Lepisosteus oculatus: one gene and its partners. Each later gene encodes a partner of the first gene's protein in a complex. Links are inferred from orthologs where the notes say so. Each region holds a gene or a part of one and is shown on either strand. Other genes may lie near its edges.

Evidence for each region.
Region 2: snrpe (region 1) and small nuclear ribonucleoprotein Sm D3 share a complex: the UniProt entries of both Homo sapiens proteins name them as parts of the U7 snRNP complex. The link is inferred for Lepisosteus oculatus from reciprocal best matches to the Homo sapiens genes SNRPE and SNRPD3.
Region 3: snrpe (region 1) and cwc15 share a complex: the UniProt entries of both Homo sapiens proteins name them as parts of the minor spliceosome. The link is inferred for Lepisosteus oculatus from reciprocal best matches to the Homo sapiens genes SNRPE and CWC15.

What each region holds. Positions count from the first base shown.
Region 1 is NC_090700.1:38,045,345-38,050,595, forward strand, and holds snrpe (small nuclear ribonucleoprotein E), read right to left. Parts: upstream 3,139-5,251; 5' UTR 3,009-3,138; coding exon 2,955-3,008; intron 2,414-2,954; coding exon 2,387-2,413; intron 1,959-2,386; coding exon 1,896-1,958; intron 754-1,895; coding exon 675-753; intron 520-674; coding exon 464-519; 3' UTR 234-463; downstream 1-233. UniProt on the Homo sapiens protein: Plays a role in pre-mRNA splicing as a core component of the spliceosomal U1, U2, U4 and U5 small nuclear ribonucleoproteins (snRNPs), the building blocks of the spliceosome.
Region 2 is NC_090717.1:9,777,635-9,782,885, reverse strand, and holds small nuclear ribonucleoprotein Sm D3, read left to right. Parts: upstream 1-2,333; 5' UTR 2,334-2,479; intron 2,480-3,406; 5' UTR 3,407-3,420; coding exon 3,421-3,546; intron 3,547-3,727; coding exon 3,728-3,920; intron 3,921-4,421; coding exon 4,422-4,486; 3' UTR 4,487-5,028; downstream 5,029-5,251. Other genes in the region: protein GUCD1, read right to left, coding at 110-194, 1,491-1,497. UniProt on the Homo sapiens protein: Plays a role in pre-mRNA splicing as a core component of the spliceosomal U1, U2, U4 and U5 small nuclear ribonucleoproteins (snRNPs), the building blocks of the spliceosome.
Region 3 is NC_090700.1:12,135,798-12,141,048, reverse strand, and holds the start of cwc15 (protein CWC15 homolog), read left to right. Parts: upstream 1-2,141; 5' UTR 2,142-2,203; intron 2,204-2,952; 5' UTR 2,953-2,961; coding exon 2,962-3,092; intron 3,093-3,487; coding exon 3,488-3,600; intron 3,601-4,470; coding exon 4,471-4,562; intron 4,563-4,675; coding exon 4,676-4,786; intron 4,787-5,251. UniProt on the Homo sapiens protein: Involved in pre-mRNA splicing as component of the spliceosome. Component of the PRP19-CDC5L complex that forms an integral part of the spliceosome and is required for activating pre-mRNA splicing.

The DNA of each region.
Region 1 (5,251 bases):
AGAGCCAGGGTTTAGACCTGGAGAGACTGCTTGCCTTTAATGGAGCAGTTTATATAAAACAAAAAATAGTTTTCACAACATCCAACTGCTCCGCATCATCACTTGGGGCTGAAGAACACTCCCAACATAAATGGAATGTCCACACTTTTCCTATCAGTTTCAGTTTCAAAGGTGCTCTCCAGTCCATGTTAAAGTTCAATTTCCCCAAAATAAAATCACCTTGGTCATAAAAATAGAGGATTACAAAAAGCACTCCAGTTTTATTGGTACACACTACACAAGAAAATACAAAATAAGCGGTCAGAAAGACTCCATTCGGCATACATCTGTCTGTTATACAGTTGGCTGGTTAAAGCCTAAATTACTCTTATGACCATCAACATACACTTCATCACCTGCTCCACAACAGCTACAACCGATCAAAGAAACTATTGGCCATTAAACAAGGGATACTCTGGGTGCACTAGTTCGCCACACTTTGTAGTAGGGTGATATTGTCTCCTTTCAGCATTATCCGTCCTGCAAGAGAAAGAAACAGGTCATTCAGATTAACCACGTATTTGTTTCAGCATCACCTAAATTGGACATATAGCCATTTTAATGTAGACTAGTACCAAAAAAAAAGCTAAAGTCATGGGCATCAAGACCAAAAAAAAAAATGCAAACATGCTTACCAAGGGGTTTTCTGGTTTTTGTTTTCATGTGAACCTCTTCAGCGTCATCAAGCACCAAGTTCATGTATTCATCAAAACCCTAAAATGAACAAAATTATAAGAGATGGTCAGGGAAAAAGAAGTGGGATTTAGTCAATGTAGATCCCTCAAAAATGACACACCTAATCTTCACAGAAAATTCATTTATGTGCAAACAGCAACACAAAAAACCTACTGCTTCCCTTGGCTAATATTATAACGAACTTTCTAACTGCTTCTTTAAATTCAGGGTAGCTGGGGAGCTGGAGCCTGTCCCAGCAAGCAACGGGCACAGGCAGGATACACCCTGGACAGGGCACCAGTCCACTGCAGGATGCACACACTAACAGAAATACGCACACATTTCCATCAGGGTCAAATTGTCCCTGAGGCCAATTAGCCTACCAGAATGGACTGTGGGAGGAGACTGGAGCACCTGTCAGAAACCCACATGAACACGAGGAAAACTTGCAGACTCTCACGGTGCTTGCTCTTTTCCCATAGACAAATCCCAGACCTTTTCCAGACTTTTACACTTTCAAAACCCTTCTATAACATTTGTCTCTGTTAAATATGTGCATGCTTTATTGACAATTTTCTTGTAACTGTCCATTCCAATAAAGAAATCCAATTAATGTACAAAGAATAAATATCCACATTCCAGTTTTCATCAGTTCAATGATTTAGAGGTCATTTAAGACTACCATCTGTTAAGATTGATCCCAATAGTAACGTTAAATCTCTTTAGAGATGTAATAGTGACCCATACAACCTGCTTGATTGGGGTCTTGAGAACTCTAGTTGGAGATCCCTGGAATAGAACATTGAGAACAACCCCCCATACAGAGAGTAGTATATACTACTATCACAAAATTACACTATAGCAATGTAACAGCTTTTAATTGGACCAACAGCAGTTCATCTGAGCCTGGCTTCATGTTCTTTTAAGGGAGCCAGAACCAAGTGCCAGGTCCTATATTAGGTATGATGCCACCCCCTTTCCAATACATTTGCAGTAGCAACTGCCATTTTAAACTACTTATAAAACCTGAAATGTATCAAACTGCCATTAAACCTGATCTGTATCCAATCCTGTGTCATGGAAAAATGGTACACCCTGCTGTGTGATATCAGAAGCAGAAAGCACAGCAACCGGGCTGGAGAAAAGGGGCAGTTCTGTGGAAGAGCTCAGGATTCACTCACAATAATGCAGCCTTCTATCCGCATGTTAACTTGTTCATACAGCCACACCTGGATCCTGGATCGCTGAGGAGGAGAGAGAACAGGAGTGAACTAGCTGAAGGAAAGATGTGGTTGAAGGCTTAAAAGCCCGCTCCAGTGTGACAGGAAAACCCTGTGAAAAGTGTCAGGACTGTTTTATCAGATTCTTTAACTGAGGTTACATACAGGCAGGCTACAAAATGTTCAGATCACCGACTCCTTCATTACAGAAAATGTTAATGATGTTCTTTGGAATACATTCTCAGCATTCATACACAGGCACCTAGCACATCATAAGCACGATCATGTAAAAATATTTTTTTGTAATTACGTGTTTGCTCTGGAAGCATGGAAACTTGAAAGACCTGGGTCTTCAACGGAGAATCCGTGTGTAGAAGTAGCCGATACATTGAACAAATGCAACCAAAGGCTAACTAATGACTTTGAAAGTAACTCAAAGAAACAAAACTTACATTTTGAAGATATCTGAAGATAAGATTCTGAAGGGATCAGTCAAGGAAAATTAGTTAATAAATTCTTCTCACATCACCTCCTTTATCAGTTTAAATGAATAAAGCCTTCGGTCTCCAGCGGGAATCCACACTTTTAAGATCACACGCGATATAAATAAAAAGCAAATAATGTAAATGCGCATGCCAATTACTAGTTTCTGAATCATTTACTGTTAAGAATCTAATACGTTCGTGATACCAAAACAAAAAACTAGCGAATTATGCCATGTTGGGTAAGGCCAGAGTTGAATAAACAATTTGTAGAATGCCCTTTTCTGATTTGAAACTATTACAAATTATTTCAATTTTAAAAAACGTACATATTAACCGAATAGAGGGGTATATCAGTCTGTTAATCACATAGAAGCATACGACAAGTCAGGTCAACATACCAAACGTAAATAGCAGTGTACGAACGCCGACAATGTAGACATAAAAAGAGTTCTTACTAGCTAGGCCAAACTACACAACATTTATGCACACCCGGCTCACACAACGCACGCAGAGTACTATGTGTTTCAAAGGATACAATCGGCTGCACCATAACCTTCTGAACCTTCTGTCCTTGGCCTCTGTACGCCATAGTCCTGTAAGTTCTGCTGGTTCAAAAAGAACTTTAAAAACAAACTTTCACAGAATTACTGGGGCCGGTCTTCCTGTCGAACACCGCGCTTCTTTTCTTCTCTCTGCGGACGGTGCCCCCACGCTGAACTTCCCTTCAATGGCGGAATTTCCGGGTCACCTCAAAGCAGCGTGGGACGTTGGAGGATCAAGTTTCTGGCCTCGGTAAGCTACAAAAATGTGTGCGCCATCTGCTGATGGGAGGTCGTTATACCATTACAATTGTATACTTCAATTGCACAGTACGACTACGGAAATAGGACATACGAAACAAAGTTTTTTTGGTTTAAGAACTGTAAAAAAGAGACAATATCATCCTAAAAGCAATATTTCGCCAAACGGAAGTGAAAATTACCACCTAATTTCTCATAAATGTTTAGGTACCTAGAATGATATCTAGCCCCAATTAAATGGACGATTGACAGAAGCTAACTCCGCAGGTCTTTGTGTTTTTGTATCAATAATGACAGAAATTACAGAATGTTTTTGCCTCCATTTACTAGCTTATCATTAAAAATATGCAATAAATGGGAGTGCCACTGAAAATGCAAACAAACCTATGGTTTTGAAAAAGGCATTTTTTATTTACAAATAAGTGAATTTTGGAAATGGTATACAGGCATTTAATTAGAACAGAAATTTAACTGACACAGAAAATAGGACAAGGAACCCAGTCCAGCCCCCTTAACAGACCATACATCTCAAATGTAGCAATATAGCCACTTTTAAGATTTGTGGTCAATGGTGAGAAAAATAAAATATAAACGTATTTCCCTCACATGAACACAACCTATTTCACTTTCTGAAAACATCCGCAGCCTGGTGACACACACCCGACTGAAATGTTTTAACTAGAGTACATATACTTTCATTCATACAGAACAGTGCAGAAGAAAAATGAGAAACAATATTCCCTCCACAAAAGACAGTCATCCCTGAGAAGCTTCAAGATTGTAAAATAAACTACTAGTTTTTCAGGGGGGAGAACACAGCACTATGTTGAGATAAAACATGATACGACACTCTTGAAAAATTAAAACATGGTCCCCAGTGGAATTTCAGCACCACATTTTAGATTAAGACACTCTTTAAATGATGTAAATTATAGTACACAATTACATTAAAGCAACTGGGTTTGCCTTTTGTGTTTTTAGTTTGTATCTCCTGTTTGCTAAAGTTACAAAACCCCTCCATCCTCTAGTGCTTCCAATGTAATGAATCATCTACAAATCCTATAATTGTTTTTTGAAGTGAAGATGTATGCCTTATGCAACAGGCTGCAGACAGTATTTCCAAAGAATGGAAGAGACCGCACACTGGCTGCACTGGTGATGTGTGAAAAGGGCTTTTGCACTAGAGCTGGTGTGCACTATGTAACAGAGAACTGAAATCCAATCCACAAACTGCACTGACTTTGTTGGCTGACACTCTTGAGTTATTTCCTTACTTTACGTGTACATAAAATAACCATTGTCAGAAGTTTAGCTCAGTTTTGCCTATCAGCACAAGCTGACAGTTCCAAGCAGATTTAATGGCAAACTCCACCAAACGCGGATATGTACCCTCCCTCTAAACTGATAAATTCCACTCAAGTAGTGCTCATTTCGTAATTAATACAGACTCCACTTAAAGGGATATACATATTGTAACAGAACAAGCCCTTTACCTGGCTGAACTAGGTCTATCTGTTTTTTTTTCAAATTTCATCCTACCCCACATGTAAAAGACCATTGTGTTCACAGTACAGTCAGTAAGATTTACAAATAAACATTTTTTGGAGGTCTTCCAGGACAATATAATGGAGTACAAATCACACACTGATGTGTGTGCAATAACAGGCAATTAAGCAGTTACAGGTCAGTCACTCCATTTTTTGGGGAAATAGCTCTGCAAACCTTGATATGAAGCCATGTTGAGCAATATCTTCAAGAGGACAGCAGGGCTGGGTGCAAAAAATGTGAATGCTAATCAGTAAATCCTAAAATTAAGTGTTGTTAGCTTGTTTTATTCCATTCCACAATCTCAGTTATTTCCAAGCTCAAAGTCTTCTTAGCCTATATAGAATAATAGGTGAAGGTGAAAATAACTATTCTGCACTTGACACCCATGGCAAGCATACAATTCAGACAAATATACATCAACACATGTTTCGGTCAAGCTGTGGGTCAGATTATGAGTAGCACTGAAAGATGTTCAATATTAGCA
Region 2 (5,251 bases), on another chromosome or scaffold:
ATTAAGAACAATAATCATTTTCATCACCACATTTTATGTTGTAAATGCTACTAAAGTTCCAGTCCATTCTGAATGTAGTCTACAAAATGTTTTTCACTGTCTTACTTACTTCAAAACCATTCTGGAACAAGCCAGCCCACAGTCCCAGTGATAGAGCTGCCGAATGGCAGGTACTTTCAGTTGAACAACACCATCTAAACAAATAAAAGGGCCTTGACGTGAATATACTCAGATATTACACTTCTGGTGTGTTACATAAAAACATAGCGATAAAATAAACACTGAAAACATGCAACCCTATATTGGACAAAGTGGTAAGAAATTGGATGGAGGAAATGTTAAATGCACCTACTGTAGCAACTAAACTGCCAAACAAGCAATATGGTCAATTGTTTCCTTTTATGCAGTAATACATATATAATTAGGGATCGTCAATGATTTCAAATTAGAAACTGTCTAATCCAGTGATTCCTAACCCTGGTACAGGAGAAACACTGCTTTTTTTTTCCTTCCAACTGAGCTCTATATCTCCATATCTCTATCTGACTTAACAGATCTGCATGCTTTTTTAGCAATTTATTTATCTTGTTTCTTTGTCTTGAATGCCACACATACCCTACTGTAAGGGTACTGTTTCCAACAACTACAGCACACAAACCTGTATGCAGTCTGTTCTCAAATTGCCGTCTAACTAATCACTGGTTGATAATGAACAGACACAGGTGGGAGTGAGAGTTTATCAGACATTCCCAGAATAGGCAGTTTTATTTTTCTTCTGCAGGAAGGTACAGTGAGTACTTCTCAGGCAGCACACACGCACGACACTCAGAAGTCGGTACGTGCTTGATACCAATTACGAATCCCATTTGGTATTTTAAGAGCTGAAAGCACATTTCCAAATGCGCACCGAAAACAGAACTGAAATCAACTACCTGCGATAAAATACACGGCTGGAGAAAAAAACACGGATATGAGCTACTCTTATCACTGAACTAAACTGTAAACACGCTGTACGGAGCTGTGTCAATCGGGATAGAGGGCTCAGTCACGGATGTTAACTCCATTTACGTGACCGGTGAATAAATGTACCTACCACGCTACTGTACGACCCAGGGTTTATTTACAGTTAATTCGATAGTGGTTCGTGTAGTGTTTTAACTTGTTTTACACGCAGGACAAGAAGTGCATAGCAGGTTGAAGGACATCTGTGCTCAGCCGCAAAGCGAACTTCTGAAACCAGTCACACCACTGCTCCTCTTAATTTATTTTCAGATGCCTGACGAGAAACAGTCGTGTACATTAAAACACTTAACACCTGTGGTAACAGGGCCCGCAACACCTCGACAGCACGACGGGACCTTTCCTGGAGCCTCGAAATCGTTGAATATGTTAATTTCCAACAAGGGCTGATTTAAAACAAAAACAAAGCGGGACCATCCCAAATCATCCAGTTCGTCGACACGGAGTACTACGCTAACGCTCCATCTTACCTGTCATTCTGTGCTGCTTGTTTTTTATATAATGCTGTTAAGTCCTTTTCACTTTCTGCGCACGATCTGGCGATTTTCAGAGAGGAAACCGTCTCAGCACCACGGCGCTGGGTCTGTTCGCCGGACATGAACATTAGGAGCCACAGTTACGACCCCGGTCCGGGCCGCCTCTCTCCGGCACTACAGTGCTGATCTGCTGGGCACCTCTGCCTGCATCTCCGCCGTACGCAATTTCCTCTTGCAAAACGAGGACTTCCACAGACGCTCATTTGAAAACCGCTGCGCCTACAGCGCCCTCTAAACACAGTCAAGGAGGGACGAGAACTAGAATAAATAGGCTGTTCTTATAATATATTGTACTCCAGTGTACTACTCGTGACAGTAGATGGTGAGATATTCGGGGCGATCACAAATTATTGGGGAGCAACTTACAACTGGCTATTTCTTTTTTTATTTTAGTTTTGTTGGGTAGCTGCTTAGAGCCATTCTTAAACGTCACAAAATCAAGTGCATCTTCAACTTGTTTTTCTTTCCTTTTCAGAAAAAGAAGGGGTTTGGAATAAACCCAGCAAGTGACGAAGAAGAAGGTTTAATGAAATAATAAGAACTTATACATTGATGAGAGTTACTGTATATCTTTACAAATGTTTTTCGTAGCACAGTAAAAAAAAGTTGGAGCAACAGAACATGTTTCCTCCTTGTGTGGTATTTAGTAAAAAGAAAGCCCGTTATACTTATTTTCATTCTTGAGAAATTTTAGAAGACGTTATGTTGGTTAAACTACAAATCCCAACATTCATCATAACGACGGAAAAACCCAAATCGAACCGGAAGCACTTTGTGACTTCCTTTAACGCGTTGCATTGTGGGGTATTGGAAACGAACAAAATCGTACTCCGAGGCGGTCAGGTTTTAAACACGCTGCCGTTCACGATTAAAACCGGGAAACGGTTAAATAAGAGAAGGAATTCAATATTTGCTGTGAACAGGTAAGAATTTTATGTTTCATTACAAGTTGTAAGATATTACCTTTCTTTTAACGAAGGGAATCAAGATTATGAGTTCGTTGAAGGTAGGAAATGAACTTGATTTGAATGGCGTGGAAATACTTTACGTTAGAAAACAAATATACCTTCTCCTGAAGTATTTTCTCCCAGATGCAAAACAAAAACTTTTTTTTGCTAATGAGATGGGTTTTTTTTTTCCCATAGCTAAAGCTACCCAAGTCTCTTTGGGCTTTGCCATAACACAAAGGCCGTGTCGAAGTAGAGACCGTTTGTTCTCATTTACTGCTTTGAAGAATATGTTTCGAAAGTGCAGAATATCTGCTTCGAAGATTGTTTTAGTGAATGTTGCTTAACGCACTGGTCTATTATCTATAAAAAGAGTTGCCTAATTTTTTTTTTAATCTTGTGAAGTGCACATTATCACATCTATTTTGTAAAATGTATGCTAACAAACTGTCAAAAAAGTTAAAAGTACTAGTGAATTTTGCTCTGGGGTCCATCTTGATCACTGATAGTATATACCAGGTTAAATCAGATTGCTCTTTAGACTCGAACTAAACATGCGTACCTATGAGTAAATGCATCCAGTATCCAGGTTTTGATTCCTTTGTGAACAGCTAATGGCCTGCTTGGTCCATACAAACCCTTTACAATTGTCTAAATTCAAAATCTAATACTCGTTACTGAATGCATTTTAATCTTGTTACCTAATAACAGGCATTTACAAAAACGTGTGATGTGTAACCTTAACTTGTGTACAAACTGAGCTGCAGGACAGAATCTAATTTATCGGGCATGGGGTAGAGATGCTGGCTTTTTCCAAGGTATCCAGAAGCATGGTTTTTGTGTGTTCTAGCCTAATATTGCTCACCTGGAATTATTTGCCTCCCTGTCATGGTGTTTGTTTAGAGGTCCCAGTTAAAATGTCCATCGGAGTGCCTATCAAAGTTCTGCATGAGGCCGAGGGTCACATCGTCACCTGTGAAACCAACACGGGCGAAGTGTACAGAGGAAAGCTTATAGAAGCAGAGGACAATATGAACTGCCAGGTAAGCCTGATAAGTGGTTGAGATGAGAAATGCCAGGGGTCACAAAACCAAGCAAACCTTTTAGGCCAGTGACCCCATATAATTTCACACATTATGTGCTTTTGATGGATTCTTTGAATTAATCTCATGCAGAGTTGTGCACATGCAAGTGAATTTAAAGCTGCTTTTTTTTGTCTTCCAGATGTCTAATATCACTGTGACATACAGAGATGGACGTGTGGCGCAGTTGGAACAGGTCTATATCCGGGGCAGCAAGATAAGATTTCTAATCCTGCCGGACATGTTGAAAAACGCCCCCATGTTGAAGAGTATGAAGAACAAAAACCAGGGCTCTGGAGCTGGAAGAGGGAAGGCTGCCATTCTCAAAGCTCAAGGTATGTTGTTCACCAGACTCCAATTCAGAGGACAGTTCTCCAGGTGGTGTGTTTCTGTAGAGGACTTCAGCGTGATCAGCAGAACCCTACAGAAATATCAAAGTTATTGGTTTTTATTAAATTTATTCCTTAGCGTCCATCGTACTGATGACTGTCTTGAAATAAAGTAACGCCAGCTAGAAAGTGCTCTTCGATCACCACCTGCTGACGTGTGCATCGTTACTTGGTTCTACACCTACGTAATGACCTGGGTTAAAACTCCTTAGGTTTAGGTGCATGGGTTAAGGCCTTCATTAGAAGTAAGACATTCGTATCAGGTCACGTGGCTGCTAATAAGTTACTGATCTGAGGGGCCTGTCATTTCTTGAACGATGGAACTTATTCCAGAGCAGCAGTATTGTTGGTAATCTGTTGATCGGCATTGCCAGTTAGTGCAGCTTGTTTGCAATTATAGGGTGATTAACACGTACTGTATATTGTGTCCACTTTTTTCTTTTTAAGTGGCTGCGAGAGGAAGAGGCCGCGGGGGAATGGGAAGAGGAAATATTTTCCAGAAGAGACGATAACCCTCAATGTGCACTTCATGGCCTTTTCTTACTGTACAGTTTTTTTAAAAGGTTGGGTGATCATTCACGATGTTGTCTGTTAAAAGGCAAATCATTTTTGATTTTTTTTTTCTGGCAAGTTTTTTAGGTGCTCAATAAAAATAGGTATAATGTCCAGTGTTTGTGCAGCTCCTTTACTTTCACATTTTAACAAATCAATATTCAGTCAGTACTGTCTTTAACATTTGATTTACTGCAGTCGAATCTACATGAAAGGGGCAGCTGTTTATGTAATTCAACATATTGATCCTCATAACAGCCTTTAGGTTTGGTCTAAAGATGATTTTCAACTTCTGTCACTTTTGTACTGACTTATAATGAAGTTTGTATTGTAAGAAATGTCGGGTTTCCATTCAGTCTTGTTTCAAAAACATAATTCACCTTATGAGCTTCTCCAGAATTGATGCATTGATAAAATAATGTCTAGTGGACAACATAGTCTGGTTTTGTTTTAATAGTAATTCATATCTTTGGCCGTTAAATAAAAAACTTATGTTGAACATGAGTGCAGCTGTGCCTTTTTTTTTACTCTTCAGGTTTCATACTTTGTTCCCAGTGATCTGCTGGTGTTTCAGTTTTGTGTAATCTAAATCTGGCAGCTTACACATCTTCCACTCTAGTGTCTCTGAAGCTCCCTCTTAATTCAGCTGAAGCCATTTCTGACTCCCCCACCTGATCTGCTCTGTAGAGGAGCTGTTGGTGCACATCTACCACTTCTCTCAGGTG
Region 3 (5,251 bases), about 26 Mb from region 1:
CACTGTTGAAATTAAGGCTTCAGACTCAATTTACTCTATTGATAACCTAGCTAGAAATATGTTCTGTATTTGTTTCTCACTATACAGAACAAGAACTTCAACATTCCACAATGGCTCAGTAAGAGAAAGACTTCCACCGCTATCGTGTCTATGTACTATTGTCACCATCTAGTGTTAGAGAACAGGCTTGCATTTGTAAAGCTCAGTTCCACCAAAATCAATTTCTCATGTTTAATATATCACTAAACGCCTTACAATCCAAAATTACTAAAGATATATGCATATAATAGGTACATTTGTATTGTACCTTTGTCTTATTGAAGATTTATTCAATGTAACCACTGCAGTCATCAATGACATACATACCCTTTCCCGTTTGTGTCATGTCCTTTATCTCCATCCTAAACACCCTAGCTTTTCAGTCTATAAAAATTACAAAATGTTTCCTAGAAATTCAATGTTAAAAATATGGATCTAAACAACACCTTCCATTTATAAATATTTTTTCTACATATATATAGATTTCCCACGGGGTGCTTTGTTTTCATGCAAGGAAGGGTTTAAATCGCTCAGTGGTAGAAATGCTGTCTGTATGCTGCCATGTAATTTTGCAAACAGCCTATCTGGTGTTCGTTTAATATGCCATGTAAACTGTCAGTTGTCTGTCCATCTTGGGAAGTGAAAAACAAGGACAAATATGTCAGCAGGTTTTCAAAGTCTCTTAAAAGCAACAGCAGCTGACAAACTGGGAGAAGCGGTATTTACAGTAAATTGATTAGGTTAAGCCAGTAACGGCTAGTTACTGTCAATCACACTGGCCCTTGGATAGCAGTGTGGTCTGGATACCACAGTAGTACCCTTAGGAAAATAACCTTGAAGTTTTATATAAAATGCCAGAAGCTTCTATAAATACCTATAAGTCATCCATAAGTGATTTTCATAAGGATATCCATCCATCTATTTTCTAAGCACTTATCTGATTTAGGGTTGCAGGGGAGTTGGAGCCTATCCCAACAAGCAATAGGCACAAAGCAGAAAACACTTTGGACAGAACTCCAGTCCATCACAAGGTAGATACACAGACACACAGACACACCAGGGCCAATTTTCCCAGAAGCTAATTAACCTACCAGAATATCTGTGGATTGTGGGAGTCAACCAGAGCAACCGAAGGCAGCTCACGTGACCACAGGGAGAACATACAAACTCCACACAGATAGAACCCCAGGTGCACAATTGAACCCAGGGTCCCAGTGCTGCAAGACAGCAATGCTAACCACTGCAACCAACATGCTGCATTTCATAAGGGTATACATAACACAGTCCTCTTCAAGACTGATTGCAAACCAGCAAGTTTCAAGGAATAATTCATTGTATGCTTTCAATAACAATATTGTAACTGCAGACATGTTAATGTCTGTGTGCACATCCAAGGAACAAAAACAAACTATTTGAGTTCAGTTCAATGAAAGCAATTTACCAAGCAAATATGCTGTTGTTTTATCCAACTACAATTTAAAGAAGGGGGCCTTTACAAACAGTACAGTTTTTATAACAGTTTAGTATCTAAATCCCCCCAAACTCCCTATCAGTTGTGTCACATGGGTTTCAACATTTTAACTATAAAAAGGAGATAAAGTAATTAATGCATAGAAGAAAGTGTTATAAGCTCTTCATTCTGTATGAAAGGGTATTTGAACTTAGCTGTTTTTATGGCAAACTATAGTTTTATTGTTATTAATAGTTGTATTACTACTGAAAGTAATTAAATGGTACAAGTGTTGCTGAAATACCTTTGCCCTCTTATTTAAATGGTTGTTGCTGGTACAGAATTGAATGTTACCATTAAATGAAACTAAACTGCATTCCAAAACAACCCAATCTTAGATTCTGGAAACTCTGGAGGAGCACTTGCAAATTCTTAGATACTCTCTAGTACCATGATTTAAGATGACATGGTAAATAAAATAGTTTTAATTGAAATAAGACTAAAAGCAGCTGATGTGATACATTTAAAGTTATAAGTTTATTAAAAATGGCTTGACACATTTATTTGGTGTTTTCCACGAGAATTGTTCATATCTAAAAACGATTTTTTTGCGACCAAAAGACTATTTGTCCCATATGACACTCCGTAGAGCCTCTGACCCGTTCCGCGTTGCAGTCTGGGATATCGGAGGTTCTAGTTGTTGTGGAGCGTAATGTAAGATACAATTCATAGGATAAATAAGGTTTCTTTTTGTCATAATTAAATATCTAAGGCTTTAAAATAGAATGCCAAACATTTTATATTATACATTTAAAAGTGTTACATGTAAATCCGTTCAGATCGTTTTAGGTACAAATTATTACAATGTCGGTTTGTAGCTGAACAGCGTTCAATGAAAATTTTCGTACGTTCTCAAAAGGAATATTGTTGAATAATGTCAAAATTAACAGTACAATATTTTTATTTGTTTCGGGATTCTGCTCTATAATTTGTTTTAATTTACACGGTCTAACACAGGTTTCCGAATCTATCAAAACAGTAAAAGTTTCTAGCTTCAACAAATGTGCGTTGAACGCCTTTCTTTTTGTAATCCAGTACCGTGGGATTTCAGTTTAAGAAGCCAAACGTGAAATGTAGCGTTTTTTCACAGGCGTATTCTAAGTCTTCTATCATCGCATGCTAATAAATCTTGGATTTACGACTTTCTTACGTATTACAGCAACTTTGAGGCACTGAACGATAATGTTACACGCATGAACATGTGTCCCATTGCACAGAGGTGGAGGTGTCGGAACTACGTGCTTGGCTGCAGAAAACTGCTGTAATGAGTTTCACCAGGTTTACTTACGGCTGAGAACGAGAGGACCATCAATTGGCACTTGCGCGTAACACTGCCGTTTAAAAAGTTTGCTTCTTGAGCACAGTGAAAATATTGCCCTTTGCTCCGTTTTGCGTTTTTCCAGTGAGTGACGATGACTACAGCTGCCAGGCCTACCTTTGAGCCCGCGAGAGGAGGGAGAGGCAAAGGAGAAGGAGACCTCAGTGCTCTGTCCAAACAGTACTCCAGCAGGGATTTACCTTCTCACACCAAAATCAAATACAGGTTAGGCCTGCTAATCCAGAGTTGGGGTGGGGGGGATTTTATTTAGCAGTAGGTTCAACCACTCCTTGATTGTGAATGCTTCTATTTGTACCTTGTATATGATTTGAACCATGTATAGGTTTATTTGTACCTAAAGTTATTTATCTTGCAATAGTCATTATTTTTTTTCTGTGTAAAGAAGATTGGCAGGTGATGTTCTCACTCAGCACCTTCTTCTGAGAATGAAATTTGTCTTTTGGGGGTGTCTGGAAGTACATAAGCTCGACAGTATAGGTAGATTTCATTTTGAGGTAGAATTTTGAATTAGTTCCCTACTTTGCAACACATCTAAGTCTCCTTGTCTTGTCCTGTTTGCCAAGTATCTTCTGTGCTCACACACATGATATTTCTCTCAGGCAGCCCACCCAGGATGCCCCCGAGGAGGTGCGTGCCCGGGACTTCCGCAGGGAGCTGGAGGAGAGGGAGCGAGTGGTGGTCAGGGAGAAGACCAGGGACAGGCCAGCCAGAGGTGAACGGCACAGCACTAGCAGTTCAGGTTGTGCCGAGGCCTCCGAGCCAAGGCACCCATACTGTTTTTCAAAACCTGTGTGATGGGCAGGAGGAAATTGTGTCCGTTTGTCTTTTTGTCAGAATTAAAGGGGCACTGCAACACTATTTTAATATTTCGGGGTTAGAAAGGATTCAGCATCGATGAGGGCATTTCAAACCACAATAAAAGTAAAATGTGCACAGTAACTTGTAAAACCTCCAATTTACATTAAAAATGGATGAAATTTCCAGGTATGCACAGTGTTATATTCAGGGTTTCAGAACAAAATTTCTGGTGAGGTGTTGCAGCCCTGTGACTCTGTGAACAAGCAGGCTTGTGAATACATCTCATTTAATACATCTCTCGACTTTCAGATGGTTTTGCCAACAAATACAACTTATTTGTTAACTCTGTATGCAGATCACGTTGGAACATTTCTGCGGTGAAGTGTCTGCTGCACAGCCTGTCCTTATCCACTCATACATCACATTACATTAGTCATTACGGTGACTAGTGAGCAGGATGGGCTGCATCATGTCACAGTCCGTGGGAAGTGTTGCTCTTGCCTGCGGTGAGACCAGGGGTTTGCGATAACATGTCCACAGTACTTTCACAAATTTCGCGATTTTGTGCTTCATTCAAAATTTGTATTTTTTTTTCCTATAACGTTGATAAATTTGTTTTGTAACGGAGATTTAATAACCAGTCTGAGAAATTCTGACTGCAGTTCCCGTTTAAATGACTCCACAGCCATAGTCGATTTAAGGGCCTCTTGAGCTCATGCAGTGTTGTATATGAATCAAAGGCTTCTTGATGGATGTTAATACCCATGGTCTTGTTTTATTCCAGAGCACACCACATCCTCCTCCTCTTCTTCCAAGAGGCCACGGTTAGACCAGATCCCAGCAGCCAACCTGGATGCTGATGATCCTCTCACGGATGTAGGTGCCCTTAATAAAAATAAACTGATTTTATTTCCGAATTCAAAATCTTGTGGTTGGGGAAAATGACAGCTGGTGTGTGTGCGTGCTCCTAAACTGTGTCTCTCTGCCAGGATGAGGAGGAGGATGAGGACTCTGAAGAGGACAGTGATGACGACACAGCTGCCCTGCTGGCTGAACTGGACAAGATCAAAAAGGAGCGCGCAGAGGAACAGGAACGCAAGGTAATTCACGCCACATTCAGCAGCACTCAGCCTTTTCACAGGCTGCCTGGATGGACTGACTGTGCCTCAGTTGGGTCAGTGCTCTCCAGCAGCTCAGAGGTTCTATGAACAGGGGAAGAGTAAAATTTGTTCAAATTGTTCAGCTTGCTATTATTTCTGGGGGTGGAGCGGGGGCTCTGTGGCTAAGGATCTGCGCCTGTGGCTGGAAGGTTGCCGGTTCAAATCCCGCAGCCGGCAGAGGAATCCTACTCCGTTGGGCCACTGAGCAAGGCCCTTGACCCCAACTGCTCCAGGGGCGCTGTACAATGGCAGACCCTGTGCTCTGACCCCAGGCTCTCTCCCTATCCGTGTGTCTGTGTGTCTCATGGAGAGCAAGCTGGGGTATGTGAAAAGACAAATTCCTAATGCAAGTAATTGTATAGGGTTAATAAAGTGATATTATTATTAAAAAGAGAGAAGAAACAG